Danio rerio: one gene and its partners. The protein of the gene in region 2 purifies or fractionates together with the protein of the main gene of each other region. This does not show direct contact. Links are inferred from orthologs where the notes say so. Each region holds a gene or a part of one and is shown on either strand. Other genes may lie near its edges. The genes, in order: ube3a, mapk6, eci2, neurl4 and cep170aa.

What was found.
Region 1: the proteins of mapk6 (region 2) and ube3a purify together in Homo sapiens (affinity purification with mass spectrometry; 3 studies listed by BioGRID and IntAct, with this or other methods). This does not show direct contact. The link is inferred for Danio rerio from reciprocal best matches to the Homo sapiens genes MAPK6 and UBE3A.
Region 3: the proteins of mapk6 (region 2) and eci2 purify together in Homo sapiens (affinity purification with mass spectrometry; 3 studies listed by BioGRID and IntAct, with this or other methods). This does not show direct contact. The link is inferred for Danio rerio from reciprocal best matches to the Homo sapiens genes MAPK6 and ECI2.
Region 4: the proteins of mapk6 (region 2) and neurl4 purify together in Homo sapiens (affinity purification with mass spectrometry; 6 studies listed by BioGRID and IntAct, counting the BioPlex papers as one, with this or other methods). This does not show direct contact. The link is inferred for Danio rerio from reciprocal best matches to the Homo sapiens genes MAPK6 and NEURL4.
Region 5: the proteins of mapk6 (region 2) and cep170aa purify together in Homo sapiens (affinity purification with mass spectrometry; 3 studies listed by BioGRID and IntAct, with this or other methods). This does not show direct contact. The link is inferred for Danio rerio from reciprocal best matches to the Homo sapiens genes MAPK6 and CEP170.

The regions. Positions count from the first base shown.
Region 1 is NC_133181.1:41,320,285-41,327,110, forward strand, and holds the start of ube3a (ubiquitin-protein ligase E3A), read left to right. Parts: upstream 1-2,214; 5' UTR 2,215-2,369; intron 2,370-3,278; 5' UTR 3,279-3,360; coding exon of another isoform or gene 3,361-3,362; intron 3,363-6,826. UniProt on the Homo sapiens protein: E3 ubiquitin-protein ligase which accepts ubiquitin from an E2 ubiquitin-conjugating enzyme in the form of a thioester and transfers it to its substrates.
Region 2 is NC_133193.1:42,124,819-42,131,067, reverse strand, and holds part of mapk6 (mitogen-activated protein kinase 6), read left to right. Parts: intron 1-888; exon of another isoform or gene 889-974; intron 975-2,424; 5' UTR 2,425-3,046; coding exon 3,047-3,601; intron 3,602-6,249. UniProt on the Homo sapiens protein: Atypical MAPK protein. Phosphorylates microtubule-associated protein 2 (MAP2) and MAPKAPK5.
Region 3 is NC_133199.1:3,106,043-3,113,075, forward strand, and holds the start of eci2 (enoyl-CoA delta isomerase 2), read left to right. Parts: upstream 1-3,270; 5' UTR 3,271-3,499; intron 3,500-5,474; 5' UTR 5,475-5,642; intron 5,643-7,033. UniProt on the Homo sapiens protein: Able to isomerize both 3-cis and 3-trans double bonds into the 2-trans form in a range of enoyl-CoA species. Has a preference for 3-trans substrates.
Region 4 is NC_133187.1:24,223,050-24,229,298, reverse strand, and holds part of neurl4 (neuralized-like protein 4), read left to right. Parts: intron 1-901; coding exon 902-1,412; intron 1,413-3,080; coding exon 3,081-3,146; intron 3,147-3,247; coding exon 3,248-3,678; intron 3,679-6,130; coding exon 6,131-6,242; intron 6,243-6,249. UniProt on the Homo sapiens protein: Promotes CCP110 ubiquitination and proteasome-dependent degradation. By counteracting accumulation of CP110, maintains normal centriolar homeostasis and preventing formation of ectopic microtubular organizing centers.
Region 5 is NC_133188.1:11,431,876-11,438,124, reverse strand, and holds part of cep170aa (centrosomal protein of 170 kDa), read left to right. Parts: intron 1-1,543; coding exon 1,544-1,679; intron 1,680-1,899; coding exon 1,900-3,399; intron 3,400-5,129; coding exon 5,130-5,177; intron 5,178-6,249.

The DNA of each region.
Region 1 (6,826 bases), on a different chromosome or scaffold from region 2:
TAAAGTTTCAGCTCAAAATACCCATCAGATAATTTATTAGAGCCTCCAGAATCTTCCTGTTTTGGTGTCTAAATACATAGTAGCTGTTTTTGTAGCCTGTAGCTTTTAATACAAATGATCTGCTTCTCCCTGCCCAGCGTTCCCACGTGCGTGTCTGCTTTCACATCATGCGTTATGCCAGATGAACAGCACAGTGACAGAGACAGACTCGGAAAAAGCTGAAATAAAGTCACTAGTCAAAAATATTTTCAAAGTTTATTTGATGTATTTGTGTTGGAGTTTATTCAAGCCTTTGTGAATCGATGAGTTGCACATAAATGCCATTTGCAGTACACAGATACATAAACAGATTTTAGTGTTTACTGACACGATGCGGCCGTGGTGATTATAGCGGTTAAGAATTAGATAGCGATTTTATTGTCATTATTACAAAGATGCTGTTTTAAAAACGTTTAAGACTTTTAAAACTCAATAAAAGAGAGTTGTAACAAATACTTTAATCACAGTTTATTTGCAAAAAAAAAGTTACGGGGACATGTGTATACATGTTATTATACAAACATGGCTATCAATCTGGTGGGCGGGAAAAACCGCATTCCTACATCACGTTGCGGCAGGTCTCAAAAGCACTGGAGTTTGGGTCCTATTTTAACGTCAGAAAAATGTTAAAAAGAGACTTGTTGGATTTGTACCACTCGAATAGGACAGTGGACACACTATACATAAAAATTGTTCTGTCCAGTGCTTAATTTGTGAATTGTGAGGTCCTGGAACAGATCGGGGCAACGGAGCTGTAGAGGCGTCGCGCACGCAAGTGGATAGATGGCAGGGTGTTGGATGGTGGAGGGGTGTCACAGACTTAAGTGAAGAGAGTTGGAGAGTTGGGAAGAAAGTGAACAGCGGACAGGGCAGGAGGGCGGTTAAGGAGGGGAATCAGTAAAATGAGGTGCCGGATCAGATTTCAGAGGTGCCAAGTCCGGATCCGGATCTGGTGTGTTCCGGCACAAATTAAGCCCTGGTTCTTTCCAAATAGCTTACTTTTCATCATAGGTGATATTTAAAACATATTTAAAAATAGTTTTTTAAAAATTCATAGTATAAGGGGTTGGGGGTCCATATTGCCCATGGCTAAATCCGCCGGAAAAAGCTTCTTTAGAACATTAGAATATTCTTCACACTAAGAAATAAGTGCTTTATTTAAGAACTGGACAGGTTGTTGCAAGGTATAAATATGGCATTGCTGCAATAAAGAATATAGAAACAAAAAACATTAATTTTAAGAGCGCACTGCAGTGTTTCTGCATGAATTTTGACCAGAATTGTTTCTAAAGTAAGTTGAATTATTAAATAACCATTCCTGCTGCAGAAATAGTTTTCAATAATTTGATAAATTTAGCACATTGTAAAGCAAACATATCAAAAGAGTGCAAAGCCTTACATTTTCCTCAGATTAAGAAAATTTCAAGGTACACGTTGTCCTGACATTTTATCCCATTAGATTATGCTCCCAACACTGTACTTGAATAGATGTGTCTTTGGGGAAAGGGATTAGGTGGGTTATGGTGATATTACAGCTTTACTACTCCCACTACCATTAAAATTTACGCTGGTAGCAAAATCTGATGGGTAGCATATTGTGTCATCAAAATTTGCTACCTACTTTTGAATGGGAGGTAGGACAATCTGACAAGGACAAATGAAAAAACACTGTCTTCTGTGTTTTGACATCATACCTCCCGCAGCACTCTATGCTTATAAAATAAATAATAAAATGTTACAGTTATGGCCTAGCTATCGTTTTTTTTTTTTTTACAGTCGCCACCTACTGGTGTTTTAACTCCCACCGTACAGAATCAATCGCTTAATTTCTCAGGTCAACTGACTCAAAAAATTTGAACCACTGAGATTATTCAACATCTACTATTGGTCCCAAAAGCACTGGAATGAACCTTAGATAAAACAAATCAGGTTTCTTGAATTTTTGCTTTCAGGTTCTGCCCTCTGCTGATGAAAAAAAACATAACTAGTTTCTAGTTTGAGATCTATGTGTAAATAAAAAAATCCTACTTTTTTACCAAAATTTACAACTTATTATCTGGCTCATGCATATGGTAGTGAACGTGTTAACAAGTATTTCAACACACATGTTCGGATCTTGACTGACTGCCAGAGCGCTGTGCCGTGTTTTTATACTGATGGTCGTCCTCGTGCCTCAGTGCATTGTGGGATCGCTCTCCGTGTTTGCCTCAGTTGATCAAGATGGCCGCGAATATTTTGTGGAGGGGTTGGAGTTGAATACACGCCGCACTAGAAGCGATTGTGATGTTGAGAGACCAGATTCATTCGTCAGCATCAGAACACCTCCAAAAGTAAGCTGTCAAAACCTTAATCGCGCTTCTTCTGTCCCGACCGCGCCTGGAGCACCGCGAGAAGCGCTATTAGGCCAGTTAGCCGCGCTGCTAACCCGCTCCGGGGAGGGAGGGACGGAGCTTTCTGGTAAACAAGGGAAATACCGTTAATCCCGATATCCTAAATACGTGATCGATTATAATACGCGGCAATAAGCGTTAAGTAAATTTAGCATGCGTCTCTGAAATGTTAAACTGTGGTTAGCTGCAGCTAGGCTAACTAGTTACTCAGCTCTTTCCTGCCATTGCTCCCCATGACAGTTACTGCAAGGTTATAAGATTTGCAGTTCCCGCTCTGCTTTAAATGCACCGATCATCATCATCTTCAGCGGACTTTATTAATGACTATTATGGGTGTGTTCGTTTGTTTGGATGATATCTGTAGTGCATTGACTGTGTGTGTGTGTGTGTGTGCAAAGCAGAAGTTGTTTGTGCACTGTCATACCCCCTGCCTTCCCGTCCGCGGCCTCTCCGGCTTCTGCTCCGGGTAAACCACTGTTTACCGGCACACAGGATGCTTCAGTTGCGAAAGCACACAGTTTGTTTTTAGTTCTGCGGCTGCCGTCTGTATATGTTTACGTCGCTGCCCTTTTTTTTGCAGACACACGTACTATGTCAAAAAACAGTGAGCTGACTACCCAGGCAACATTTTTAGACATCAAATACTGTCTAGGGAGTCAGCTTGCTAGGTTTTTAGACGCTGTCCATGGTGATATTTCTGCCCTGTGGTTCACTTTAGGTTTGTGCTTACCAATGTTTTTCTTACTAATTGCAGTTAATAATGTGGTAGTTTCTTTAAATGTCCCTTTCACTAGTATAATTCCCAGTGCTGCAAAAGTGAAATTATTGATGTTTTCTGTTCATCTGCAGGATTGCTACCTGACAACCTTTGGGTCTCTTTGAGTTCAGAGCCGTAGAAGAGTGTGATATTGGAAACTTTAAAGCAAGTCTAATGTAAGTGTCTTTGTTTTTACCTGACTTATACTTTTCCCTAAAGGGCTAGTTCACCCAAAATTGAAGTTTACTGTTAATTAACTTGCCCTCTAGATATTCAGAATGTGGGTGACTTTCTTTTGTAGAACTTTAGTTTTTTTTTTTTTTTAGCTCTTAAGATTATTTTTAGCTGAAACTGGGGTGTTTGGTGATTCGAAGAATTGGCTCTTTATCATACATTGATGTCATCTTTTGCTAAATTATTGCATAGCGCAGATAACTGAACATTATTAAATTATACACCACCTCTGCACAAACTCCTGAACATATTTGGCGCTAGGCATGTGCTGTTTTAAGATTCTGACGGTATGGTAACCTTGGATAAAAACATCACGGTTTGACGAAATCGTGATCACTGCTCTAAGGGTGGTGCCCAAACGAACCGTACCAAAAGGGGAAACGAACTCTAGTGCGATTCAATCGAACTAAATAAGGCAGGTGTGAAAGCACCCTAAGAAATATTCTTTTTAAATGTCTGGGTAAAAAACAAAAAACTTTTTTCATCTTTGAACACAATACATTTTATTTAGAGAAACATTTAAAGTATTTTGGAGCAGTAAACATGTGAGGGTAAATCATTCAAATATACCATAGACTTCTGCTGTCTTCATTAGTTTCAAAATCATATTTCTTTATAATTTATAATGCATTGGATATCTTTTCTGCTGGAGATACTGTTGTCCTAAAAAACCGTTAAAAAAAACCTCTCACATACCTTAGGAACGTTATAGCAGAAGGTTTGGGCGATTTTCAAACCTTGACTTTTCCAAAGCACACTATACGTTGAAAACTGTTATCATCTCATGCCTATTCGGCGCACAGTCTGGGGCACAAATGTCCTGACAAAAAATAATTTTCATATTAAACATTGGCAGTCAGTCAGTGTAAAATGTCAGTCTTCCTTATTAAGATCATGGACGTGAAGGAAATCATAATTTTTTTAATATAGGCTGCAGCATCAAAGATAATTACATGTACCATTCTTGTGAGCAATACAACACATGCCTCTTCCATTGTAAACAAATAGTGTCAGTTTGACCCAAACATGTCATTATGCAACAAAGAGCTTAAGAATGTTAACACTGCCAGGACCACAAGTAATGCTCAGATTCTTGCACAGACTGATCATCTTAAATAATCAATTGCCAGCCACAGGTATTAATTTAAGCTGCATCCGACAGCATTCTAAGGTGGGAAAATATCAGGGCACGTCCAAATCTAAATTTTGCTTCGCCTACTGTCTCAGGAGGTACCTACTTCTGATTGAATTTTGAGGGCAGTGTATGCGTCCTTCACTGCCTTCGATATCTCACAATCCTGTGCTTTACATTTCTGAGAGCTAAAAAATAAAGATGGCATCTTAAAGCTCCACTTTTCTGTCAGTTTGTGTATAAGTTAGGGCTGCGCAATATATCGTTTTAGCACAATGTGTGCATTCACAAGTCACATCACAAGATACGCAATGTTAAGTCTGAATTATAGTTGAGCAGGAACTACAGAATTGTATTTAGTCACTGTATTTATAAGGAATTTATATGATATATGCAAAAACTAACAAAAATTCTTTCTTAGTATTTTTGTCTTGTTTCTAGTTCAAATGAAAATAAAACTTTATTTCTACTTGATCTAAAAATTGTTTGATATTTGAACTAGAAACGAGACAAAGTAAGAAAAGCATTTTATTTTTTTTTCAAGATTGCTTAATTTCTGTACCTGAATACTGTTAGACTCCCCAGAAAATCATTAAAAAGAGCTATTCAAACTATCTTGTGAAACTGTATATCCCGATATTCATTGCAGAAAAATTAAATATCGCATTATCAGATTTTTCTAGTATAAATGTATGTTTTCGACTAACAGTTTCTACTTTTGATGGCATTTCTAACAAGTTAGTATTGTATTCACCAAAGCTCTATCTATTAGTTAAATTGTAATGCTGTCTCAGAAGTCTATCTGAAATCAGTTTCACAAGGTGCTTTTATGCAGAAACACCACCTCCAGATTCACTGTCTCATAAGGCATTGTAATATCCAGTCTGCTACCTAAACTTTTGGATGCTGCCATAGTTCTTCCTGTTCTTCTTCTGACCAGGGAATGTGGTTTCAGCTAAAAATCCCATTTAATAAGCAGGAGAAAGACATCACCCAAATTTGGGGTGTGTTTGAGGGCAATTATAATAATTATTGGTTAAAAAGTATTTTTTATCCATTTGGTTGGCTTATCCGTCAGTTAAAAAGTGAAGAATATTTAAAATGTAAGACACTTGGCAGTACACAGTGCCAAGCAATTAATGTTATATATTAGGGCTGGGCGATATTGCAAAAAATATAGTTATGTATCACAATATCATGTTTCATGTCATTCAGTATTGATATTTATTAAGAAATAAATTTATTAAGAAATAAATTTAGGAGTATTATGATTTTTTTTTACTTAACTACTTTATTTTAATTTAACAAAATTGCTAAAGAAAATGATTTTATCAGTCAAAAACAAAAATATTTAAACAAAATATCTGTATAATAAAATAAATGTGTAAAAAGTGTTAAAGAGACTCTTAAACTTGACAAATAAAATCTTACAAAGTGTGTAATAGTTAAGTGTAAACACTGAACAATCAAATCAAACTTTAAGGTGTCAATAATAATGATACAGTAAACCTCAAATTCTGTAAACAAAACAACATGTGCACGTCGTGCAAGTAGCACGCCTCCATTGGAAATGATAAACTTACACCCTTAGCTTGTTGGCATTCTTTCCAAGGCTGCACTCAGCAGCTACATATTAATAAAACTATAGCGATTCATACCAAAGCATTTTTTATTGTTATTGACAATAGTGTACGGTCAATAAATACCGATACCAATTTTATCGCCCAGACTTATTATATATACTTTTATAATGATGCATAAGACATCAGCATTGTGTGCTTTTGCATGACACATAACCAAGGGCTTTGTTTACTTCCATTGTGACCGTTTAAATCCATCATTATGATTTCTGTAAGTGCGTGTATGTATTATTATACTTTATTTAATTGAGGTTTGAGTCACTGATTTTGCTTGAACCTTTATTTTAAATTATCACAAATACTGACATTTGATTAACCTATCAAACCCCAATGTTTTGTGTGATGTTATATACAAATTTGCCAAATTTACTATATATATACATAAATGTGCTTTGAATGTTTTCTTTTATGGCACATTATGACAGATCAGTGCATGTTATGTTTTTGTCCATGCATAAAGCATTTTGCATGAGCAGCTGCATTATAGATGTTTCTTGATCTCTTTCTTTCAAATGAATAATTCTTTTGAAGAATGGAAGACATACTGCTCGCTTTCTTTGTCATCTTAACAGCAGCCGATTTTTCATATGCACATGCAACAGTCACATTTTGACGGTTGTTGGAAATGAAAATG
Region 2 (6,249 bases):
TGAAGTAGGCTATTAATAACTGATGATTTTGCTAATTTATTATTGATTTCAGAATTTATTGTACAATAATTAAAAATATTATGGCTTCTGGCAACTGTATATATTTTGTGAATACAATTTTAATTAAAATAAATTTTAAGTAATTTCAATTTAATTATTCTAGTTGAGATCAAGTTTGAATAACTACAAACTTTTCTGATTATTTAATAATTGCAGAATTTATTGTGCAGTAATTTGAAATATTCTGGATCCTGAACACTCAAAAAATATTTTGAATGCTTATTCTAGCCACTTATTTAAAATGAACTGAACCAACTCAATTATTTAGGTTTTTTTTATCGATTTGAGTGGGGTGACATGGAAGGATTGTGTGGAACCCAGCATTATTTACAGTGTATGCTTTGGTTAGTATAAAGATTGATTTAATTAGTTTAAATTAGTTTAAATAACTGCTAATTTTACTAAATTATGTTTTAATTACTGAATTATTTATTCATTAATTTCCTTCGGCTTAGTCCCTGATTATTACAGTGAAATGAACCGCCATTACAGAATTTGTTGTGCAATAATTTCAAATATTCTGTCACATCAACATATCTTTAGTGGTTATTACATTTAATTTAAATGTAATGATTTCGAATAAATTATTAGTATAATTGATTTAATTATTAAATAAAATGTATGACTTTAATATCAATGAATGTGAATGCGGCGCGATTTACATAGCAATAAAAGAAGCGGGATGAGTGCAAGAGCGCTATGAAGTGCCCATGCGCTTCATAGAGCGGGGGATTCACAGATGGAAATAGAAGCACGCATTAATGCGCATGCGTCGCAACGCTTATTCACACTGATCTTCAACATAAGAGCTTCACTCACACACACAGCAGTCTGTAAGGAGAGCGCGCAGGTAGCGCACACAAACCTAGCCCGGAACGGTTAGGAATAAAATATACATGACACCAGCGAGAAGAGTGAGTACATGGCTTGTTTCTTTGCTTTGTATGTAAGCGTGTCTAAAGCGTAAATATGGTCGTTTTGCTGGGTTAAAGGGTTTATTTTAACGGCAAATGGGCGGCTTGATGAAATCTAGCCTCGGCACAATAACCTTCTTTGTTCAGGTAACGCGTCGAAGCGCCGTAAATGCATAAAGAAATGACTGTTAAATCGTTATAATACATTGTTTACTGATATACGAGACATTATAATACTTAAGAAGATTATTTAACTCCTAATAGCTTGTTTAATAATCCTTTGTAAGGCGAATTGGTGTATATGTGAATTCTCCCGCTGTCTTAGAAACAATGTTTGATTTATGCTTACGAACGTTTTGTAGAGTTTGTATATTCGCGGATACTCATATTTTTACTGGGTAATTAATTCAGTTTAGTTGTTTTTGAATTGTGCCAATGTTTCGTCTCTGAGCCGGTTTGGTTTTAGCTTTAGCATGTAGCCGGTAGTAAAATGGAGGACCGAAAATGGCCAATAAACCATATAAACAAGCCGATCAACTGTAAACTTTAACAGAGCAGCAACAAAAGCGAACCGCGTGTGTACAACAACGCCAAGTTATTGTTTGCGTCATTATTGCATTTTTTTCAAAGTTTTTAAGCAAGCCGCTTTAATACCTAATGAATTATTTATATATTTGTTCAGAAATAATCGTAGTAACGTTATATTTACTTTTTGTGTTTGAGATGAGTTGGTAAACCTTGTCAATAAAAGCATTTAAACATGTTTTACTGGTCAATCCATATAACGTTAAGCAACATGATGGGTTTATGTTTATTAATTAAAACGCTTTCACTTTCTCATAGTGTAAACAGGATTAATATGTGTTGATTTAATGTCACTAACGTTACTGGACTGGTTTAAGGTTTGTTGGCTCCCTCTTTTAGTTAACAAAATGGTCGGCCGGTTAGCCATCATTTCCCTCACACACTGCTGCAACGTGGCTGAATCACCAACCTTTGTTTCCACAGACCGGCCGGGTCCCGTGTTAATCCATTACATGTGTGTTATGATCACTGTGGTGCTTTTTACAGTCATGAGGTGGAGAAACGGGAACCCATGACATCAGAAAGTGTAGTGGCGACATGAGCACACACAAACACACACAGGAAACATTGCTCAAGAGGGATGCCATAACCTTGTATGATTTTTTTTTCTTTTAAATCAGTTTCATTCAAAAAGATCAGAACTGAATAAGTGTTGCATTTCATTAAACACTCATGGTCCTTAAAATTAGTATTTTCAGCTTAGATTGTTGCCCTCTATTCAGTGTCCTTTTGAGCTTAAAACAGATCAAATCCATTCTCTTTTATTTGTGTCGTTCAGAATGCACATTTATTGCTTTAGATTTAGATTTGCTATTTTGGCCTATATTACACTCCTAATCTGTTTTGTTTTTGTGCCGTTTTGCAGGGTATCCCGGTGTAAAATGGAGGATAGTTTTGATTGCGACTGCGGTGAGCTGGAGCCGCCTGATCATTGAGAAGGAAGTGTCTTGTTGAGAACATCAAACATTTCAATTTCCCATCATCAGGCATTTTAAAAAGGAACAAGGAAAAACATTACATTTGTCACCAGTTACTAGGACCGTTAATAATAATAATAATGCTGCTGCTCAGGGCCAGTCGTACACTGAAAATTTCTGCACTGTGACAATGGTTTTATTTGTAGAGACTTCAGTTATTTCAGTTTCGTTCAGAGAGATTTGATTGGCCTCCAAATTCATTCCGTTACGCCCTATTAAACATTGAAACAAATCAAATTTCCATTTTAAGTTAAGTTCCCATTAGTCTTGAAAAAGCTGCTGGAAGTGTTGTGGATGATGACCACATATCCTGGCAACATATCCTTATCAGTTCCTATCTCTCAGTATACGCTGTAACAGTAGGTCAGGGGAAAACACTCAAGTCTTACTAGGCTTGAGTGTAGTTTGAGTCAACTTTTTCTAGAAACTCCAAATTGGCTGCATATCAGTTAAAATCAGAAACACTTCCTGCTATAATATCTGCACAGAGCTGCTCTTCTAGATCACAGAATGGCAGAGAAATTTGAAAGCCTTATGAACATTCATGGCTTCGATCTGGGGCCTCGCTACATGGACCTGAAGCCACTTGGCTACGGGGGCAACGGCTTGGTGTTTTCCGCTGTTGATACCGATTGTGACAAGAGGGTTGCTGTTAAAAAGATTGTCTTGACTGACCCACAGAGTGTCAAACATGCGCTGCGTGAAATCAAAATCATCCGCAGGCTTGATCATGACAACATCGTGAAGGTGTTCGAAACTCTGGGGCCCAGTGGCCGGAGGCTCACGGAGGACGTGAGCTCTCTGACAGAGGTCAATTCAGTGTACATCGTCCAGGAGTACATGGAAACTGACCTCTGTAAAGTACTGGAACAGGGCTTGTTGTCTGAGGATCACGCACGGCTGTTCATGTACCAACTGCTCCGGGGACTCAAATACATCCACTCTGCAAACGTGCTTCATCGTGACCTGAAGCCTGCCAACCTCTTTGTCAACACTGAGGACTTGGTTCTAAAAATTGGAGACTTTGGACTCGCCCGGATCATGGACCCCCACTATTCCCATAAGGTATTTATTCTTTTGCTTTCACTTGCTAAGATTTTGCACCTTCAATGTTCTGTTTCATCGTACTGACAACCATCCAGATGGCGTCTTGTTTGGCTGAGACATGAATGAGATTTCATTTCATTCACTGATTCCTTGTATCGCAGGAAGTAAACAGTCCTTGAATTGGCACCTCCGACTTCCTGTTTGTGACGCCCTTTCCTGTATGTTAGCTTTCTGTGTGGTTGCTGTACATCCGGTTGTGTTTTAAAAGGAAGCTGATGGAAAAATATTATGACAAAATTGCACAGCTGTCCCTTTATTGACCTTCTTCTTTTACATGAGAGCGGGTGCAGCCATTAGAACCTCATTGGCTAAAGACTTCCGATCTCATTCGCGTCCATTGATTTTTAGCCATAAAAATTGCTGTTTGATGTTGCAAACTGGTATTTTTTCTTAATATATTTTTTTTTATTTATAATCATAATAAGCACGCTGGGATTTTCAGCAAGTTGTACGACCGGTTTCTGTCCTTTGTCATTCCTAGTCGTTTCCTCCATTGGCAAATTAACCAGAAGTCCTAAAACAATCACAGAAAAGAACGTACTTCCGCAATGCAGGATAAAGTGAATTGAGCCAGAGTGGAATATTTTGGAACATAGGTTGTTTTGACGTGACGTTATTGATAACGCGCAAAATTCAGAAGGAGTGCATGAAGTGATACTTTTACGTAATCGCTATCAGAACATCAAATTATTTGTTTTATGTTCCTTATAATAGTTTAAATCAGCCAAAATAAGAAATGGCGAACAGCTTTTATAGACTGCCAAAAGTTTTAACTCATAAAGCGGAGAAAGTAAACAAACTGGTTAAAAAAACAGAAGAAAATGCGGCATGTTATAAACATTTTTTTAATACATCCATGTGTACAGACTTTTTTTTTTAAGCACGATAATTCATTTGACAGCTTCAATAAAGATTATAAGCAGGCCTAGCTATGTGTATACATGTTATGTTGTATATAAATTAAATGCAAACACCACCCCACTTGTACAAAATCCAGGAGAATATACGTACCCTGCCATGTAATAGCAATGAAATTTCCATCTTCTATTGCAATAATCCATGTCTTTGCTGGCGTTTCATCAGAATTTACAATCTTAATGCTATCATCGAGATGCGCAGCAGTGGTGAATGTTTATTAATTGTAAATTTATCGACAGAACAAAAAAGAAATGCCTTTGTCTTGTAACAAAACTCTAAATTTTTTTTAATTTTAAGCACTTTTTTCCCCCTCTAATAAATATATATTGTAGACTATGCATTTACGCTTTTGTATGCTTTCATCTGTTATTTTGTGATGTCTGCAAGATATCTGCATGTTGAGAAACTATAGTAATAGTGTAGCATAGTAAACTGATAAACTGTAACGTCAGTATAAACTGTGGTGCATTGTGATTATAGCGTAGATAACTGAAGCCTATTGAATAATTTATTAATACAGTTGTGTTGTACCACAGCAACAATAATTACTACAACAGTTTAATACAAGTCATTATAGTATGCTTCCGAACACTATAGTATTCATCATAGTATTTTTTCATAAAACATAATTAACAAGCAAATACATTTTAGTTCAAGAGAAAACAAGATCATCTTCATGATATAAGGGTCATGGCCAACATATGTGCCTATTTTCTGTTTAGATGTCCTTTGACATATGGTATGTATCGCAAAAATAAGGACTGGAAAAATAAGGAAAAATGAGGACCATGTCTCCCATTCATTTTTTATTTATTTTTTTTTTACTTCCTGCCCTCCATCTGAATTTCGCACATCACCAGGACCACGTGACTGAAAACAACCTATTGGGAAATCTAAAAAAGATTGACGTTTTGTTTCCTTTTAATGTGTTTTTCCTTGTTCTTTCGTTCGTTCATTTGTTCAGTTTTGTGTGTGTGTGTGTGTGTGTGTGTGTGGATGATGTTTGGGTTGTGGCTTGGTTTAAGTGTACTCGTGTCACAAATTTGTAATCCCCTCTCCTTTGTGGGCTCACATGATCCATATGCCAGCCAGATCTGCTTTCACATATGTGCTGAGATGCCTCCTCTCGAGTCTTTGAGAGAAAAAGCACTGTTCCTACTTGATGTCTATGAATAGCTGCCGTCACTCCCCCACACATACTCTGGTCTGGGTTTCTTCTACAGGGAGCAAGAAAGCTGAGAGACCGTATCAGACTCCGGTCCTGTAATTATGAAGCTGGCTGCTCTACTGACTTGTGATAACTTGGAAAAATTTGAGAACTAAAAGTTTAAGACGAAGGGGAAAACCTTTTAGGGATGAGACTTCAAAGCTTAACACATGAAAGTGAAGTTTATGGCAGTTTAAGTAGACATGTTTAAAAGTTTTAATCCTATTTTATTCTCTAGTGTTTATTTATTTTATTTTTTTGTAGGCTTGAAAACCAATATATGCATTTTAGTTATTTAATTTAAATTCAAACAAGAAAAGTTATTTCAGTATAATTTGTTAAAGTATTATGATTCTTTGTTCTATGTACACTCACCGGCCACTTTATTAGGTACACCTAACTAGTACCGGGTTGGATCCCCCTTTTGCCTTAAGAACTGCCTTGTTCCTCCGTGGCATAGATTCAACAAGGTACTGGAAAT
Region 3 (7,033 bases), on a different chromosome or scaffold from region 2:
ATTGTCAGACACACACATGAAAATAAATTATAGTAATTTAGTAAATACTGTAGTGTTTTCAACAACACTGACACTAACAGCTCCGATAGAGATTGAGATGTTGCACACTCAGCTAAAATGTTGCTAGAATCAGTTTTTAGGTATGGCCAATACATTTATTGCGTCATCAAAAATGATTGAGGTCATGTCCATGTGTTGTGAGATAAGTCGATATATTGATTATTGTGACAGGCCTAATTGTATATTAATTTTTGAGTGAACTATCTCTTTAAGTCTTGTCTGTGAAACCGGCTGATTTTTGTTTTCAGTTAGATAATTATTACTCATGTATTTTTCTCCGTCTTACCTTTGCTGTGCTTCAAGTGGTCCGCAGCAGGTGATCCAGCTGATAGTCGCACATTTCATTCATTTTTTAAAAAGTGACAACTTGTGACAAGCTACTTTTAATATTCAGTCTGGAACCGCATGCAGGTATGACTTCAAAACAACATGAGCACCATTTAATGGACTAAACAATGTTGTACTTTGATAGTCATTGGCTGCTAATATGATTTTACTATTTAAAATTTAGAAAACTTTTCTGAAGTGACATTATCAAGAAGAAAATCTAAATGTGTGAATACAAAAACCAACCATTTTGAGGGATATAAACAATAACAATGGTACTAATGTTTCCTGCTTTACATTTTCAACTTCTAAGAATACAAAAATGTTGATAATTAATTCTATGATAGCTGTTTTAACGTAAAGATATAATTCAATTGCTTCTTGTTACAGTTATGTAACATAATGATAACAAGCCGGATATGTTCATCACCACATTGAAATAGTCTAAATACCTCAAAATCCTTGTAAGAGTGTGCTTTCATCTACAGTAAAACCACTATAAAGACAACAATAGAAAAACATAAAGACATACAAAGAGTACAGATGTAAACGCTGTATAAATGTTTTCTTCTAAAGTGAGGATTTTTTCTCAGACTCCAGTGTGTAGGTACAGAAATTTCACTTTCATGGTGATTAAATTATTAAATTAAATTATTTTCATTCCATAACTAAACATAAACAGGAGGCTGAGGAAAAACTGATAATTTTAGAAGAAAATGTTAAACAGCACATGGAGGCTTTAGCATCTGTATTCTTTAAATATTCACAAATAACATCATATACACGTTGCATATATTTTATAGGTCATTTTCTATATATGAGCAATCCCAGCATTATGAATGTAATAATTGCAGTAAAAACTGAAAACATAATTCACAGAGAAAGTATGTGTTTAATTATATTGAAACATGTTCATATTTTCCTGAGCAATTAACCACAGGGTTATGGGATCAGAAAAATGTCAATCTATAAAACTTTTTTTATACGTTAAATGAGCATCCAATATGGATGTGACCAAAAATGTCTGCAAGTTAACAGTATACAACACACTTTGTAGAAATTCTGGATTTTGTGGAAATTTTGAATGTGAACTTGTCACTTAGATGACTTTGGTAAATCAAATATAATTGTTTGAAAACAAAGACAGACATTTTTGAGCATTTTTACAATACTATAAAATACAAGCCTACTCAAAAATCCCTGAAAGGGTTTCGCTATTTTAGTAAAAATTTATTTTTTTCACAGCAAGGTTGACATTTGCTTGGAATTGCTCATATCAAACTAAAATCTAAATAATGCAAATTAAGAAAAACAATAACCTATCTATCTATCTATCTATCTATCTATCTATCTATCTATCTATCTATCTATCTATCTATCTTGCAATTGGAAATATAAATGTCAAAATTAAGTGAGTTTCTTCCTTAAAACAAGCTAAACAGTTTGCTTTTGGCAGATTATTTTGCTTGTTTTAGTAAAAAGCTCACATAAAATATATATATATATATTATTTCTAAAAACAAGATCATTTTTGCTTATGTAAAAAATGTTTCTTAATTTAACAATATTTTAAAGATATTCGGACTAGAAACATGACATTAACTCAAAAAAGAGCATTTCTTGCAGTCTATCTAGGAGACATACGTGACCGTTAACAGGTTTCAACCACAACTAATAACACAATGTCAAAATATTAATAAAATATAAAACAATATTTAGCAATCAGTCTTTCTGACAATATATAGCAATTGGTGTACTTGCAAGCAGCTGCGACGGCCGATCCTCAGAGAGAGTCTGCTTCCACTGCAGTCAAAATACTGAAGACGACGACAGGAAATAAGCGAGTAACGAATATGCTTTAAAGAAATATTAAAATTAAGTAAATAATTAACAAAAAAAAGCTAAATAACACACACAAAAATGCTGCAACCATCTTGACTTTAGCCGAGAGTATGACGCTTTGCGATTCGAACGTGTTCTATTTCGGCCGTCAAAATTCTTGGAATGCGTGACGTCAAACAACGGTTCTGCGCTCTTAAAGTGACCAAGTTAATTACAATTTGCGAACTCATTAACTTTTTGTTTTCTGTTATGTTGTCGTGTTAATAGTTTACACAATTATGTGCTTGTGAATAGCATTCGGGGTGTCAATAAATGTGAAATTAAATTAAAAAGTGGATCACACAGCAAGTTGCACAAAAGCAAATGTATCCTCTTTGTAGAAAGCCATAGAGAATACACATAACAGAAATAAACAAATAACATATGCAAATAGTAAACACTGTCAGCGACAAATACAATTTGAGTATAAATATATTAGTTGCAGAATTTAGAAAACTGTATGAAAACCACACAGCGAAATATTTTTTTTCAGAAGTATGCAGAAGGACTTACTTGGTATTTCGGCGCCAGCCCGCTAATCATGGTGGGCGCGTGCGTGTAAAGGCTTTTGTCTCGTTTGTCTACGCTTGAACAACTAAAAGAACGCTGAAGTCTGTTTAACTGATTATATTTTAATGACATTACAACATCGATGCTGTAAAAGAAGCCTTATGAAGTTGAAAAAAGACACATTAGCTCTTCACCTGAGGTTAATCATTATAGTCTATACAGAAAACAGGACATCGTAGCTCAGCATCTTCAAAAACTACACTTAATTTATGTATAAGCTAACTTCACAAGAAAAATGCATACATTTATTGAATAATATTTGTCCTTGTCTTGTTTCAAAAAATTAGGACAACCAAATAAGGTATACTTATATAATAAAGACTGAATAGCAAGTGTAAAATTTAAAATAGCGCGTTTAAAATACAAATATCCTTCCAGAATATATTAGTATCGTAGACTGTGGTAAATATACACAAAGCGATTTTTCGTGTCAGCAGTAGGGGGAGCTGGAGAGACGTCACGGCAGGAGAACAACAGAGGAGAGGTAACGTTAGATTTTCTCTCCAGATATCCATAAACAAAGACATCAGTTTAATCTGACTCCTCCAACATTGCTTTTCAGTGTCTTTAAGGAAATACAGGATTAGCGAAATAAAACTTCAAAATCAAGAAAAATTAAAACACCAGGAGACGGGCTTTATTCATCAGGTGTCTTGATATCGTGAGTCATTTTTTCTTTCTCATTGTTTATTATTTAACAATAGTAAATAATTATTTAACGTTAATACTGTAGTGTTTGAGGTGATTAAAATGCTGCTAATGTTTGAAATACCACATACAATATTCAGCTGAAAAGCCTAGTCTTTGAAGATCAGCAAGAAAGTTTATATGGGTGGAAAATACATTTATTCCCTTCAACAAAGTCACAATATCGGCTATTTAAAGTTATTTTATATAAACAGAAATCATCATAACAGCATGTAAAGTGTCCACGGTTAAATTAACCGTTGGTGAACATAAAATAGCGTTTGTTTTGATGATGTGATAAAATAAAATGTTGATAAATCAGTGTGTAAAATCGAAACAGTTATTGTGGTCTGATTTAATAAGATTAATAAAATAAGAGGTCTTCATACTAAACTGTACTTTAAAAAAACTTAATGGTTTGAATAAATACTGGCAAAGTTTAAAGATTTAAAATGTCTGAAACCGTTGTTTATTTGCTGACTAAACTATTAATAAACTGAATGTCCATCATTTCAAAATGTAATTTAGTCATATTTATTTGCTCTGGGGAAAACAACTAAACGTAAACAAAATATAAAGCTGTTTTGTGGTTTCTGATAAGTGTTATTCAGTATATTGACAAAATTTGCACTAATTATGTGACATTTCAAGCAGCTCCATACTTTTTAGAAAAAATGCCAAGTAATTTTTAAAATGTGTACTTTTACTTTCCCTTGAGTTCATTTTTAGTGCAGTATCTGTACTTTTACTCCACTATTTTCCTTCAACCTGCAGTCACTACTTCATTATTTCTTGTCTATGGAGAATAGATAAATCAGTCCTGTGATTCCCGTCACACATATGGAGTAAATCGCATCATAATGTATTACCTCAAGATATATGCGCTTTACCATTGCAGCAAACTGTTTGGAAGCATTAATAACTAATTAATATCCGTCAATGTCAAATCTAAAATCAACCTCTGATGATGTTACAGCTTGACTTTGTGTGGACGTTACCACTATGACGTCTATCAGGCATTGGATTTTGATTGTCATACCTTACGAATAAATGTCAGTATTTGAGGTCAATATGACTTTGGTTTAAGATGTTGGCTAATATTAACGTCGTATGATGTTGTGTGCCTGCTGGGCAATAACTAAATGTAAATGCATCTGCTTTTCACAGTGTAATACTCACTAAAGTACTTTTGCAAGCTCTACTTTTTACTCAAACTCTGAGTAATGTTTACAACAGATACATTTTCTCTAATATTTTTAGGCAAGCAATGGTACTTTTACTTAAATATGATTTTTCAATACTCTTTCCACAACTGCTCATATCACAGCTTGTCAAGAATCACTGGCTATGACAGCCAAAGTGATGCATATCGTAGAGGTGAGACACTTATATTCAAGCAAGCATTTAATTGGACAGAAAATCTGCTAAATATTTCTTCTAAATGAATATTTTGCCATTGTTTAGCAGCACACTAGCATTCAAATAATCTTAAAACTAACATTCTTATTATAAATGATAAGAAAATTGACCGATTGATCTCATGGACACTTAAAAAAAGACCTGAGGAATAATTTTGAATACATTGTCTGAGGACTCTTATTATTTGTTGCTGACTAATGCTGTTTTTGTGTCTCTTTTGAAAATACTCACCTTCATCTACGTGCACAAATAAGTGGGTTAATATAAACATTGACAGTGATTTTCTACGAAAGAATACCTCTGTGATAGTATTGCTTTATAATGCGAAGAAAGACCTCTTACATGTCAAAAGATCACGGAATATATGAACACCCTGTGATATGTGCAACAGGTAAATCCAAAGCACATCATCTGGTCAGAGGGATTCTTCAGGTTCAGTCCTTGGTCCCCTCTTCTTTTTTATTTACACCAAACAGTTGCTCCTACCATGATGATCCTGATGACATATGATTTGTATTTTTACTTACTAGATGAGCCGATGGTAGCTGCACAGATCTCAGACTGCCTGAAGCACATCTCAGCATTGACGAATCCTGCCAAAGACTGAGCTCCTCATCTTCCCTGAAGTTTCCAGTGTTCTTCAAAAGCATAAATGTGTTCAACAGAAGAAAGTCAAACTGGATTGGAACAAGTGGAGGGTGAGATTTCTTTTTTTTTTTTTTTTGGTTGGGGGGGCGAACAATGCATTTAATAGGTTTAACAAAGGTAGAATATCCTTGCTGTTTGCACATACGACATGAAAGATGGAGTGGTGGAAACATTTGTTCTGAATAAATATACCACAAATGTAAACAAACATTTTATCTGAAGTTGGAGTAAATATTAAAAGTATAGCCTGCTTTCTGAAACTAATTTAAGAACCAAGCAATCATATCAAACACTTTTCTTAACTTCTGAAAACATGCATTAGAGTTGCATTTGTGTTTCTCGTGATCTGTCCAGGAGATGTCAGCATTGCTTACTTTTTTAGATGGATATGTAAAGATCAAGCTGTTTTGGGGACTCTCAAATTGGATTTGGGAGCAAATATTTTGCTTGAAGATCCATCTGTTCATCTATTTTTAAATGGATATCAATTATCTGATTATTATTGTTACACACTGTTGCAGTAATTGATTATTTCAGAGTGATGGCAAGCTTTTTTAGCCCAAAATATTCCCATGTTTAGGTGTTGTATATGCACTGTTGCTAGTAGCTTTATAATAGTAATCTATTCTGTCAGAAATTGACTTTAGTATTGGATCATTTCAGCATTTTAACATTTTTGCTAATTATTTTTTTGCAACACACACTAAAATGATACAAACAAAAAAGTCATGGCAACCAATAGTTTTATGTAACTTTGATATAATAATTAATAAGTCATTTTAACTTTAAGGCAGCAACATTTTGAAAGTGTACTTTATAGTACAAACTCCACATTAATTAGAAATATTAACTGTAAACTAGGAATGCAAAGTATGCAAAAGTCAGATCTGCATTTCCTGAAATATACTCCTTTATTTGATAAAATACACTCTTATCCCACATATATTATACTATATAGCAAGCCATAGTAGGCTAAAATATTAAATGTGTCATTTTAATGGCATTTTCACTCGTACAAACTGATTTAGAGTTATCTATTTTTTACAAAAACAACACAGTAACTGATAATTTTAACATATTTTTATTTTTGACATTTTAATGTAATATTTAAAGTGAAATATGAGCTTAGATTGCAATTTACTTACTAAAATATACCCCTCTCAATGACAAACATCCCAAACTAATCAGAGTGGATTATTTTAAATAATAAAAAATATGAAATGACAAACTGCTGTATTTTATTTTAAAGTAAAACAGATAACTAAAATGTAATTCTTACTAGTAAAATCCAACTAATGTTGGGAACATTTTAAGCCTGAATGGTTTGCCCTATAGCATAATATATGTGAGATGAATAGGAGAGACTGTAGTGTGTCTAGCTTGCTGATAGGGTTTGTGTAAACAACTTAAAAAGAGCCGTAAATATGAGATGAAGTCAAAT
Region 4 (6,249 bases), on a different chromosome or scaffold from region 2:
TGTTCTCCGGAATTAACAACAAAAGAAAAAAATCGAGTGGGAGAGTTTAGCTGATGCGGTTAACACAGTTGGGTCTGAACATCGTACTGAGTGCATTAAAAAAGAAATAGTGTGGTTTATATGTGTAAAATGTTGCATTGCCCTTAACAGTCTCAGTGGCGCAGCTCGTAAGACGCATGTCAACATGTTTTGACACGTTCGAGCATGAACTCGGTTCGATTCCAGCGTCTGATGAACTCTTTCTTCTTTTTTCCCCCCCGCTACATATCAGATTTTGCCCACTATTTATCATGAGAAAGACAAGTAGGAATCATTAATAAGTTTGTACATCATATTTTATTTGCACATTTATTGAATGGAAATGTTTCTGATTCACGCATGCAAATTCATCTTCAGATAGTGTCTTTATAGCAATGTGCGTGCAGTAGATAGCTCAGATTACATTGGGAAAACAGGCGACCACTGCAAATTGTGCTTTAATGTTTAGCTGGTCAACTGTATGGTATGGAAACCTTATATACCTGCTGAACCCGTCTCATACAGCTGCCATTGCAAGGCTCAGACACTTTGTAGAGAGGAATTTAACACAACTGCCTCTAGGAGTCGCCAATGGAAATAAAACAGACACGCACAAAAAATGTGCGTACGCCAGCCAGAAAGCTGCCGTGAAGCTGCGCACATTCCCACATTCAGTTCATTGTTAGTAAATCCAAACGTGAGCGATTCTGAGCGTGAAACCTGGCGTACGCAAAGTTTTTGTGCGTACGCAGCGTTGATACATGAGGCCCCTGGACTACAGGGGGGTGGGGGGGTAGTTTTATTATATGAAATATATGTCCTTCATTTCAGCCTATATGTTTTGTAAATAAAAACAAATACTGACTGACATTTTTGTCCTTAGGTGAACTCTTGGAGCGGCTCTATAGAAATCGGTGTGACGGCGCTGGACCCAGCCGGTCTGGAATTTCCCAGCAGCGCCACAGGGCTGAAAGGTGGCTCGTGGATTGTGTCTGGCTGCTCGGTGCTGAAGGATGGCCGTTCGGTCCTGGAGGAGTACGGTCGGGATCTTGACCAGCTTGGGGAAGGAGACCGTGTGGGCATCCAGCGGAATGGGAAAGGAGAGCTACACCTGTGGGTGAATGGGCAGGACTGCGGCGCTGCTGCTAGTGGACTTCCATCTCGACTGTGGGCTGTGGTGGACCTCTATGGGAAGTGCACACAAGTGACTGTGGTGTCCTGTGAACCGCCATCTGAAATGGAGGGTGACGAGGATGAAGAGGTGGAGGATGAGATTGTGTCGACGCAGGCAGTGTCCATTATGGCAGATGCCTGTCGTAGTCATGATGATAGAGCTGCTGTACTGACTGCAGCTGCTGCTACTACAGAGCGGATGAACGGATCAGCGGAGGAAGGTAAAACTAGACCACACTGTACAGAATGATAGAGATGATGTAACATTACATCTGGTATGTAAAGCTATTAAAAAAAGGAAGAGACCATTGAGAAAGTCTCAGTTTTTTTTTGGATTTATAATTTAAAGTTTTTTGTTTGAGTAAAACAAAGGGCCCTATCTTACACTCGGCTCAATGAGGCACAAGACGTGTTTGGCGCGATTTTCAGACTAGCGCAACCCTAAATTTCATGTTTTGCAGCACATTGTTTAAATGGCTAATCCATTTGTGCCACTTTGTGGACTCATGGTTGTGTTGGTCTATAAAGGAGGTGTGTTAAGGCGCATTGTTGACACGTTGCTATTTTTAAGAACTGAAACAGATCACGCCACTAACCAACTAAAAGCTGGTCTAAAGTCGAGTGCAGAGAGTGTTTATTAAACGCGTGTGTAGGTTCAAATGCTTACACGTTGCTTAATGCACACAGGATGGAAAGCAATACACAAATATCTTTACATATGAAAAATTAGAATAGAATAAAAGAATTAAAATTTTACAAAAATTATTATTGAATACATGGATATAAAAACACTACCTCCATGCCTTCTTCATCCCTCCATGCCTTTTTCTATATGCCAGTTTGCAATTGTATAATGTTTTTATTATTAAAAGTATTATTTATTATATTCATATTTATATTAGTTTTAATAAAAACAAGTTTAGATTTGATCTCCTGTCAGGTTTTGGAGATGTATGCCTTGTTTACCTAATTAACCTAGTTAAGCCTTTAAATGTCACTTTAAGCTGTATAGAAGTGTCTTGAAAAACATGTAGTATAATATTATTTACTGACATCATGGCAAAGATAAAATAAATCAGTTATAAGAAATGAGTTATTAAAACTATTATGTTTAGAAATGTGTTGGAACAAACTTCTCTCCGTTAAACAGAAACTAGGGAAAAAATACACAGGGGGGGCTAATAATTCTGACTTCAACTGTACATAAGTACACCCCTTACAAATCTATCTTTTAAATTCATATGTTTAATTGGAAGCTATACAACATTATATTTGTGCATATACATTAGATTAGTCAGTATTGAAGCCAAATCTGGAGCTTATCTAACAAAATAACATACGATAATGACCCCAAAAGCAGTACACCCAAATTCATATGTTATAGAAAAATATTAAATACAAATTTAAAAACGAGGAAAAATCAAGAGAAGCAAAAAAAAAATAATAAAAAATTGTAGGTTGTAATTTTTTTGCAATATTTTGCTTGAATTTAAGTGTTTGGTGACTTAAATATAATTTTAATAAATGTATCTGTTTAATAAATGTTTTGTTCAAATGCACCAAAATACATTGCCTATATTCACTGAGAAATGAAGAAAAATATTCTTTTTCTAAATGGGGTGTACTCAATTATGCTGAGCACTGTATGTCTAATAGCAAGAGAAACTGAAAAATGTCAAGTGGTGTCTAAATGTTTTTTCCATAGCTGTATATTTAATATTTATTTAACAATTCTTTATGAGAAAACTTAAATAGCTCTGTGTAATAATGTCTTGTATATAAATAATTTGGCTGAACCGCTTATTACTTTTAAAAGACTTTTATTTATCATGTACACTTTCAATATTTGACTGTCTCAATTTTAATATTTTTCCCCCTTTTCTCATTAGTGCCTGAAGTGTCAAGGACGCACAGTCGGCCGGACAAATTTCCAAATAACTTTGAGCCTGATAGTGGTATGTCACATTAAAATGGATTCTTATTTATAAATCATCAATAATCTTCAATGTCATTGTGTTTCACTGTATTTTGTGCTCTATCTTTTTCTCTTTCATAGTTTTGACTGAGCATCAGTTGTTTGATGTGTTCAACAATGCCATTGTGTCTCTGTATCGCTCGGAGGATGACGGGGCAGAGGATTTGAATGTTGGGGGTGGAGGTGGCGGTTCTGACTCCTCAAGGGGCGGCACAGGAAGTAACGGTGGAGGCAGAGGAACAGGAAGTGACAGTGGCATTGGCGGCGGAGGTGGTGGTGGAGGCAGTAGCAGCAATAGCAGCCCGGCGGGCAACGCTGGTGGGGCAGCAGGACTAGGGGTGGGCACTGGTGGAATGACGACCAATGATGCACTGCTGTTTCATGAGAAATGTGGGACGCTGATCAAACTGAGCAACAATAATAAGACAGCAGAAAGAAGGAGACCGCTGGATGAGTTCAATAATGGAGTCGTCATGACCAATCGACCACTCAGGCACAACGAAATGTTTGAGGTATGACTTGTTACATTCAGACAGGTGTAAGTTGTAATGTTTACTAGAATTGTTAGTGCAGACAACTTTATATAATTAAATGTGTCAAATAATTCTTAAAGTGCACCTATGATGAAAATCATCTTTTGTAAGCTGTTTGGACAGAACTGTGTGTATGTATAGTGTGTCCACAGTCATATTGGGGTGATAGAAACACAAGTCTCTTTTTTCTTTGACGTTAAAATAGGATCCAATTCCTTAATATTTTGAGGCTGATTGCAACGTGATGTACTGTAAGAGTGCTGTTCCTCATCCAACGTATTGATTTACAGCAGTGTATTAACATGTCTTCATATTAACGTGTATAATCATATCAACAGGACAGGACTTGCGCAAAGAAACCGTGATTAAAAGATCTGTTCAGCTCTCTCTGATCATCAATCATAATCAAATGTGATCAAGAATGATTTTACAAGTTTAAAACAAAAAAAAAAAAAAGTATTGTATTGAATTACAGCGATTTTACCATCTTTACTTTATCACCACTGCCGCGTGTTCGTACAATTATAAAAGAAGATGCTTTAATCCGGGTTTGTGGATGTTAAATCAGGTTTATTTTGTACATTAACCTAAGGGATATCCATACAGCATTGGATATTATCCTGTATCCTGTCACATTTGCAAGCAAAATCAGTGTTTAGTTAATTGCGTGCATGCTGTGTGTCCGTTGTGTGTGTGTCTGTGTGTATGTGCGTGAACTTTGTAATGACATTGTTTGTGACTAATCTTCACAAAGAGGTTTGAGTAAACTCCACAACAAATACATCAAATAATCATTGTGAGTTCTTACTGTAGTATTTTACACAAACGTTACGTGAGATCTGCTTCCTTCTGGTCTGTCACTGTGCTGTTTATCTGGAGCAGCGGAGGCGGAGATTTAGGGCCTACTCACACTATGCCATCCGTACCATGCCCAGGCCCGTTTCCCGGATCGTTTGAGAAGTGTGAGTGCGCTGAATCGGGCTCAAGCACGGTTCACTGGGCCGGCCCTGGCCCGGTTGGAAGAGGTGTGCCTGAGCGCGGTTCACTTGGGCTTTGGCACGGTACGCTTGTGTGTGAGTGCAAAACGCGCCAAAGCCCGAAACTGAAAGCGAGACGTGACTTTTAAGAGGCTGTTTCATATGGATTTATTAATCATTCTTACTGTTCAGTGAACACAAACTGCCGTAGTTTATTGAAGACGAGAACTCCTCACAGCACGACAGTTGCGTGCCTTCAGCAGACCTCCTCATTCCTGCAGCAAGAGAGCATTATGATTGTTTATGAGCGCCAAAAGTAGCGGATCTGTTGACTACTATTTGACTGCATGTCACTGCATATCAAACCGACTGACTAGATAAATCTCCACTGTGCTGCTGAGTGAGAGGGCTTCTCACTGAACAGCGCAGCAGCTATGACGTAAGCGTGCCGAGGCCCATTTGTGGTGTGAGTGCGGGCCGTCGGGGGAGACGGGAGGGGGGACAAGCGTGCTTTGGCCCGGTTCGAGGCAACTGTACCTAGTGTGAGTACGGCCTTAGACACACTCTGACAGGCACGTGGGAATGGTGGGCGGGGATAACTACTATTAAAGGCATGGGCAACAAAAACAGCTACGCTGTGTTCAGAGCAGAAAATTTCAATATTCTGAAAGCTTTAATAAATAATGTGATTGTTGTTTTGAGTTGAAACTTTACAGACAGATTCTGGAGACACAAAAGACTTTTCTTAAATTTTGAAAACGGGGTAAAATAGGTGCCCTTTAATGTAATGTGAAGGATTTGGCCTTAAATGGATAGGTCAGACAAAAAAAAAAATAGTAAAAGAAAAGTTAAATTATTCACCCTCAGGCTGTATGTGCAAGATTTAGTTGACTTGTACCTTCAGAAGAACATTTAAAGATGGTTTAAAACTGAATTGGTGGTCTTTTGTGACTCGTAAAATGCAAATCAATAGCTACCAGCATTTTGAAAGTGATTAAAATATATATACAGTCAAAACACAATTAATACCTGAGGCTCCTGATGATGTTGAGGGTTTAGGCAAAACAATAAGTCCACAATAAGAAGCAATGAGAAACTGCACCTTTATAGGTAATAATTTTGTAAATAATTACTTTTTTATTTAGTTATCAGCCAAAAGAATTAAACATCTTAATTTTTAGTTGAAGTTGTTGAACTAATTTTTTAAACAAAGTAAATGTTTAATTTTGCAATGTTTTATTAGGATTATTTGGTAATCACCATTAATTGAAATTATACTTGTATAGTATATTTGATCTGCAGTATTTTCTCATTTAAGTGTTTAAGTATTTATGACAAACATCTCCTTTAAGTTAAGGACAAATGCCTTCAAATTTATTTTGTATGTTTTATATGTATGTGAAATGTATAAGTAAATTTAGTTCTGATGTATTTATTACGTTTTTTTTTTTCAGATTCGCATTGACAAACTGGTGGATAAATGGTCTGGTTCCATTGAGATTGGAGTGACAACCCACAACCCAAATAATCTTGATTACCCCGCAACAATGACCAATTTGCGCTCAGGTACACA
Region 5 (6,249 bases), on a different chromosome or scaffold from region 2:
ATCGTCTTGAAAAAAACTGCACTATGAAGCCCATATACATATTTCCAGTGTTTCAGTTCCCCAAAATGGCATTGTGTCAGTAAATCAACATAAACATCAAAAAATTCTCTCTGATGTGGAATTTACACAATAACAGAACTGAAACAACTGGAACTGACACAACTGAAAACAGAAAGCCTTTTATGAATTTTGGGCTATTAATTTACACAACAGTGGCGTAGGGGCGAGGCAGTGGCGCAGTAGGTAGTGCTGTCGCCTCACAGCAAAAAGGTTGCTGGTTCGAACCTCAGCTCAGTTGGCGTTTCTGTGTGGAGTTTGCATGTTCTCCCTGCCTTCGCGTGGGTTTCCTCCGGGTGCTCCGGTTTCCCCCACAATCCAAAGACATGTGGTACAGGTGAATTTGGTAGGCTAAATTCTCCGTAGTGTATGAGTGTGTGTGTGAATGTGTGTGTGTGTGTGTGTGTGTGTATGTTTCCCAGAGATGGGTTGCGGCTGGAAGGGCATCCGCTGTGTAAAAAAAACTTGCTGGATAAATTGGCGGTTCATTCCGCTGTGGTGACCCCGGATTAATAAAGGGACTAAGCCGACAAGAAAATGAATGAATGAATGAACAATGGCGTATTAATGGTCTTAAAATGCAAAATAGTTTTTTATTTTTTTCTCTTCGTAAACTACAAGACAACAGTTTTTTAAAGGTTCATTTTATTTTGTTTTATATTATTATTTTATTATGACAGGACAGTATCTAAACAGGAACAGTCACATGAAACAATGTAAAAGGATGGATGAAAGGATGATAGTCAGCCTTCAATGTCTTCTTTTGCTATGACCCATTCTGAATAAACAAACAAGGCAGTTTACATGCTTCGTCCTTGTTGCACAATAATAGATAAATCTAAACTAATTTATGTAGTTCAAACAACTCAGATTTGTAATTGAGAATGCCTGTTAACGGCCCACAAATTAAAAAATAGTCGGGTTTAAATCGGGTTCGGGCTCATAATTGCAGCGAGTGTGTCGGACTGGGTCAGCCTCGGACAAATGGTGCACAGGCTCAGGTAGGGTTGGGTTTAATTTTTTGGGCCCGATCTAAGCTCTAACAGGAAACAAACTTGAAGAGAGTGGGGGGCAATAGGTTTAGAAAAGATCTTGTGATCACCAAAGCAGAATGTCACCATACAGTATGTCGATTTTGTGGAAGTTGACATCATGTGGATGTGTCTTATTCTTGACAAGCATAAAAAATGGCAGACCACAGTACTATGTGTAGAGTTGTGTAGCATGTCATAGCAAAATGACATTGTTAAGCGTTTTTGTAGTTTTCACTGATACTTTTGACAAGGTTGTTATCTGTATCTAAAGATCCTCAGAATGCAAAGGGAAATATTTCCATTTTTGTTCATCTTTAATGTGTAAATGTTCACTATTTGTGTAGTTTGTTTGGAAAATCCAGCCATGTCGTCAGCTCTTCATGGGACTGTATCAAAGACAACATTTACATCTGTCAGTCAGACAAATAGAAACATCTTTACTTCATTTGCAGAAACTTGTGGAAGATTCGATTGCAGTCGGCAGTTCTCGCTGGGTTTCACAGTGGGCCAGTTTAGCAGCTAATCAAACACGGACAGACCCAGAGGGATCTGGAGCCGAACCACCAGCCTTCGTCCATCAAGAGAGAGGTAATTTACTTCACTTTGATCAAATATTAAATTGAGCAATGTAGTGTTAGAAGATACTATGAAAAGCAATGCATGCAGTTAAATATTTTTATATTAATGTTTTTCTGAAAATTTCAGTTGAACTGTTTTTTTTTGTTTTTGTTTTTATTAAATAAGTATAAATAATAGAAAAAATGCATATAAGTGTCAATTATAATATGTTTTTTTTTTCCAATTTCAGATGGTGAGGCGTTTGAGACCAGCATCTCCATCAAGAGCACTGGCTCTACCACTTCCAGCCAAGCTGACCGCAAACGAAGGACTCTCCCGCAGCTTCCCACCGATGAGAAAATAAAGAGATCAGAGATCGGTGAGAAGCAGGACACAGAACCACAGGAAAAAGAAAGCCACGGTGACCATAAAGGTGATGGCGAGTGCCTCAGCAATACAAACAGCAAGAGCGTTGTTTCTAGCCAATCCAAGAGCGCCCAGCAAGAAGGGAAGGCAGGAAAGTCTGTGCGCCCCCTGGGAAACGGAGAGAGACGAGCATCAGAGGATAGTCGCAGGAGACGATCAGAAGACAAGAGTAAAGGGAGTGACAGCGAGAGATCAGGGAAGCCACTGGTGAGGCAGGGCAGCTTTACCATTGAGAAGCCCAGCGGTAACGTCCCCATTGAACTGATTCCTCGGATAAACCGGCAGAACGGTGGAAGAGAACGAAGCGACTCCGTAGGCAGCATGGACACAGCAACTCTTCTCAAAGACACAGAAGCTGTCATGGCCTTCCTTGAGGCTAAACTTCGCGATGAGAAGAAGTTGGATCCAATAACCCCACCTATATGTCCCCCAGCTTGCCCTTTATCTCCTGAATCTGATATCGACACGGCCAGCACAGTCAGCCAGACAGCAGCCGACGGCGATCGTAAGGCGGTTCAGAAACGAAGATCTCTCAGTAGCCTTTACAGAGAAAAGAGCAATGCAAGCACCGCATCCAAAACCACAACCAGTGCCAGAGAACGTCTGGAGAGGAAGACCAAAACCAAAACCACAGAAAGCCGCTCTGATAGTCGGCGTTCAGTACAGACATCCTCACGTGGCCGCCAGCCATCACAAGATCTCACTGATGATGACCAGACATCCTCATTAGCCATCTCAGACATCCTATCGTCAGACCAGGAGATGTACTCCAGCCGCTCGCACACTAAAGGTCACTTCACCTCCACCGATGACCTTCTGCAGTCCAAGCTTGATACCAGCAAATCCTCAAGGTCTTCAAAGCCCAGCAAAACACCACAAACCACCACTGCAGCTCTCGCAAAACAAGCTGGGCTTCCACAGCCCCGTCCCACAAGGGCGTCCCTGTTACGCAGGGCTCGACTTGGAGACACGTCGGACACAGACCTGGCAGATGCAGACAGGGTTTCAGTGGCATCAGAGGTGTCTACCACCAGCTCCACTTCCAAACCCCCATCAGGAAGAAAGGCACAGTCACGCATTGACATGCTAGCACAACCCCGGCGCACCAGACTGGGCTCTTTTTCAGCACGGAGTGACTCTGAGGCCACGGTTAGTCGGACTACAGCGGCACGCTTGTCGGCAGAGACAGCTCTTAGGCTGGGACTAAAAAGCACAAATCAGCCAGCAACAGAAAACAAGCTAACTGCACGCATGAGGGCTAATAGTGTCTCCAAGCTAACAGACCCCAAGCCGAAGACAACCCCAGTCAACAGCACCCCATCAGGTGAGGAGGAATGGTATTGTAATATACTCATGTAAACATTTGCCTAAATGATTTGTTTTCTGCTTGCTTATCCTAGCAGTTGCCAGTTGAAGGAAGGTCATAGGTCAAAATGGCATAAAACCACAGTCACACTAGAGTTTGTGCTAGCGAAATTCGGTCGTACGGCGCTATGAAAGGTGTGGGGTAAAACAATATGATTAGACATTGTTGATAAAAGCGAGCGATTGGTCCATATTTGAAATTTCTGTATAGAGGTCACGTTTTGATCTTCTATTGGTCTAATGCAATCATGTGATGCGATTTCGCAGGTCAGAGTTCGTTCACCAAGTTTAAACTTTCAAATGCAGCAAAATTTGGAACTTGTCGCACAAGCTTACGTTTCTTGTCTGCCGCAGTCACAAACCTATAACTGGAAGTCTATGGAGTGAAAATTAAAGTGTGACCAGGGCTTGAGGCGATAAATCAAAGTATTGCATGAATGCTACGACGATAACAATTGACTTGTTGATTAGTGAGTCGATTAGATCCAGATATTTTGTTAACCATCTATAATATATAACTTATCTATGTATAATACTATGTGTGTTGTGTTTTAGTTTAGCTTTTTTATAATGGTTTGATTAAAAATACTTAAAAAAACAATCATAAAATCCTATGAAGCTATTGTTTGTTGGTTTATCCTTACATTCGTTGTTGGGCTTAAACAGTTAAAATGGCTGAAAAAAAGAAACGTGGACAAATTAGTCAATATGAATATTAAGATACCTTTAGATAATGATAGGGTGAATTTTGAAAATACCATTATGATCTGTGTAGAGTTTTATTTTTCATCATTTTATTTAATGTAAAAACACCAAAAGAAAGTTTGATCAAGTTCAGGTGAACATTATACAGAGTTTCCAGTTAGGACTGAATATACAGGCCAGACTTTTGAACATACAGTTGAAGACAGAATTATTAGCTCCCCTGTTTATTTTTTCCCCAATGTCTCTTTAACGGAGAGAAGATTTTTATCAACACATTTCTAAACATTATAGTTTTAATAACTCATTTCTAACAACTGATTTATTTTATCTTTGCCATGATGACAGTAAATAATATTTGACTAGATTTTTTAAGACACTTCTATGCAGCTTAAAGTGACATTTAAATGCTTAGCTAGGTTAGTTAGGTTAACTAGGCAGGTTAGGGTATTTAGGCAAGTTTTTGTATAATGATGGTTTGTTCTGTATACTATTGAAACAAAATTAGCTTAAAGGGCCTAATAAATTTGACCTTAAAAAACAAAAAAAACTGCTTTTATTCTAGCCGAAATAAAACAAATAAGACTTTTTCCAGAAGAAAAAATATTATCAGACATACTATGAAAATTTCTTTGCTCTGTTAAATATAATTTGGTAAATATTTAAAAAAGAAAAGAAAATCAAAGGGGGGCTAATAATTCTGACTTCAACTGTATAGTTTAAATTTTGAATGTGTAATTTTGCATAAATCTACAATTTAGAAAATATTATAGCTTTCAAAATAAATGTTTTACAGGCAATAAAAACCAGCTTAGTTTCCTACTTGTGTTAACTGGGTATATAATGAGACCTTTAGCATTCAGTAGAGTTTAGCTTGTGCAGTTTTGTGATGTTTCATGTGGACTAGACCGCTGTCATTAGTCATGTTTGTCTGTAATTGTCTGTCTCTGCATGCTTGTGATATTTATAAATTCCCATTTTGCACAGAAACTCAACTTGAGCCTGAAAGTGTTCTGGCAGAGGAGGAGCCCATGGGTACTGTACCATCTCTGGGCTCTGTGTGTGTGTGTGTGTGTGTGTTGTTGAGTTTTCATAAAGTGAAAACAGAAGAAACTCATACCCGGCATGCTTTTAAATGTCATTCTAGTCAACGTGTCAACTGCTTTTTATGTGTTCTTTTTTCTAAAAATCAAAACTCAGCAGTGGTGGAAAGGACCTCAGCCAACTTGCTTTCCCTTTAAAAGCATTTAGATATCAGGTTTTAACCACATCATCACTTCAAAATAATTAACAACCACATACGAGTAACAACATATTTATTCTGAAAAGTTTAATGTGTAAAGTTAATAGAGATGTTTGCCCTTTAATGCCACACAGTCAAAATCGGAGCAAAGTTGTCTCTCAAATGCTGATGCAAGCACAGAGCAGTAAGAAATGAGGGTCAGTTAAACACATTCCCCCTGGTGGCTTAAAGCTAAAATAACATGACGGAAAGAAAACATTATTGTACAAGTAAAAGTTTTTTAAGGGGCCTTATTTTGCATCGCCAACTTTTGAACAACCAAAACTATCGATCCAAAGTCCTTTTCATCACTTGCATTACATTTTACAGGTATCTTGTCAGAAGAGCTTTGCTGTTTGTTTTTAACAGATTTCATTTCTGCAGGGGCAATCGCAATATACTTTTGTGCTAAGGGATTTGTTTAAGCTGTTAATTTTGATAAATGTACCGATCTTTGGTCTATACCCATTCAAAACAAGGTTTCTATGGGAACTGTCATAGTATATAGTATAAAGTGCTAATTAAGACAGCGGTGTAGTGATATATGAGCTTTAAATGTACACTCTCATTGGCTACTTTTTCTAGGTACAACTTACTAACAAGAGTTTGAATCTTTTTTTTTGGCACAGTGTTTCGCAAGATCTTTTGTAGACCTCAGTCGTAGAGTCGTTTCAAGAATTACTGTGGTCTTTCAATCAGCTCAAATAAGTCTGGCTGTTCTTCTCTGACCTAAGATCATCTGTAAACACTAGAGATGGTTGTTATGGAGTCAATCTTGGGGCCATGTATACTTGCAAACTATAAGGAAGTTTTGCAAACAAAAAA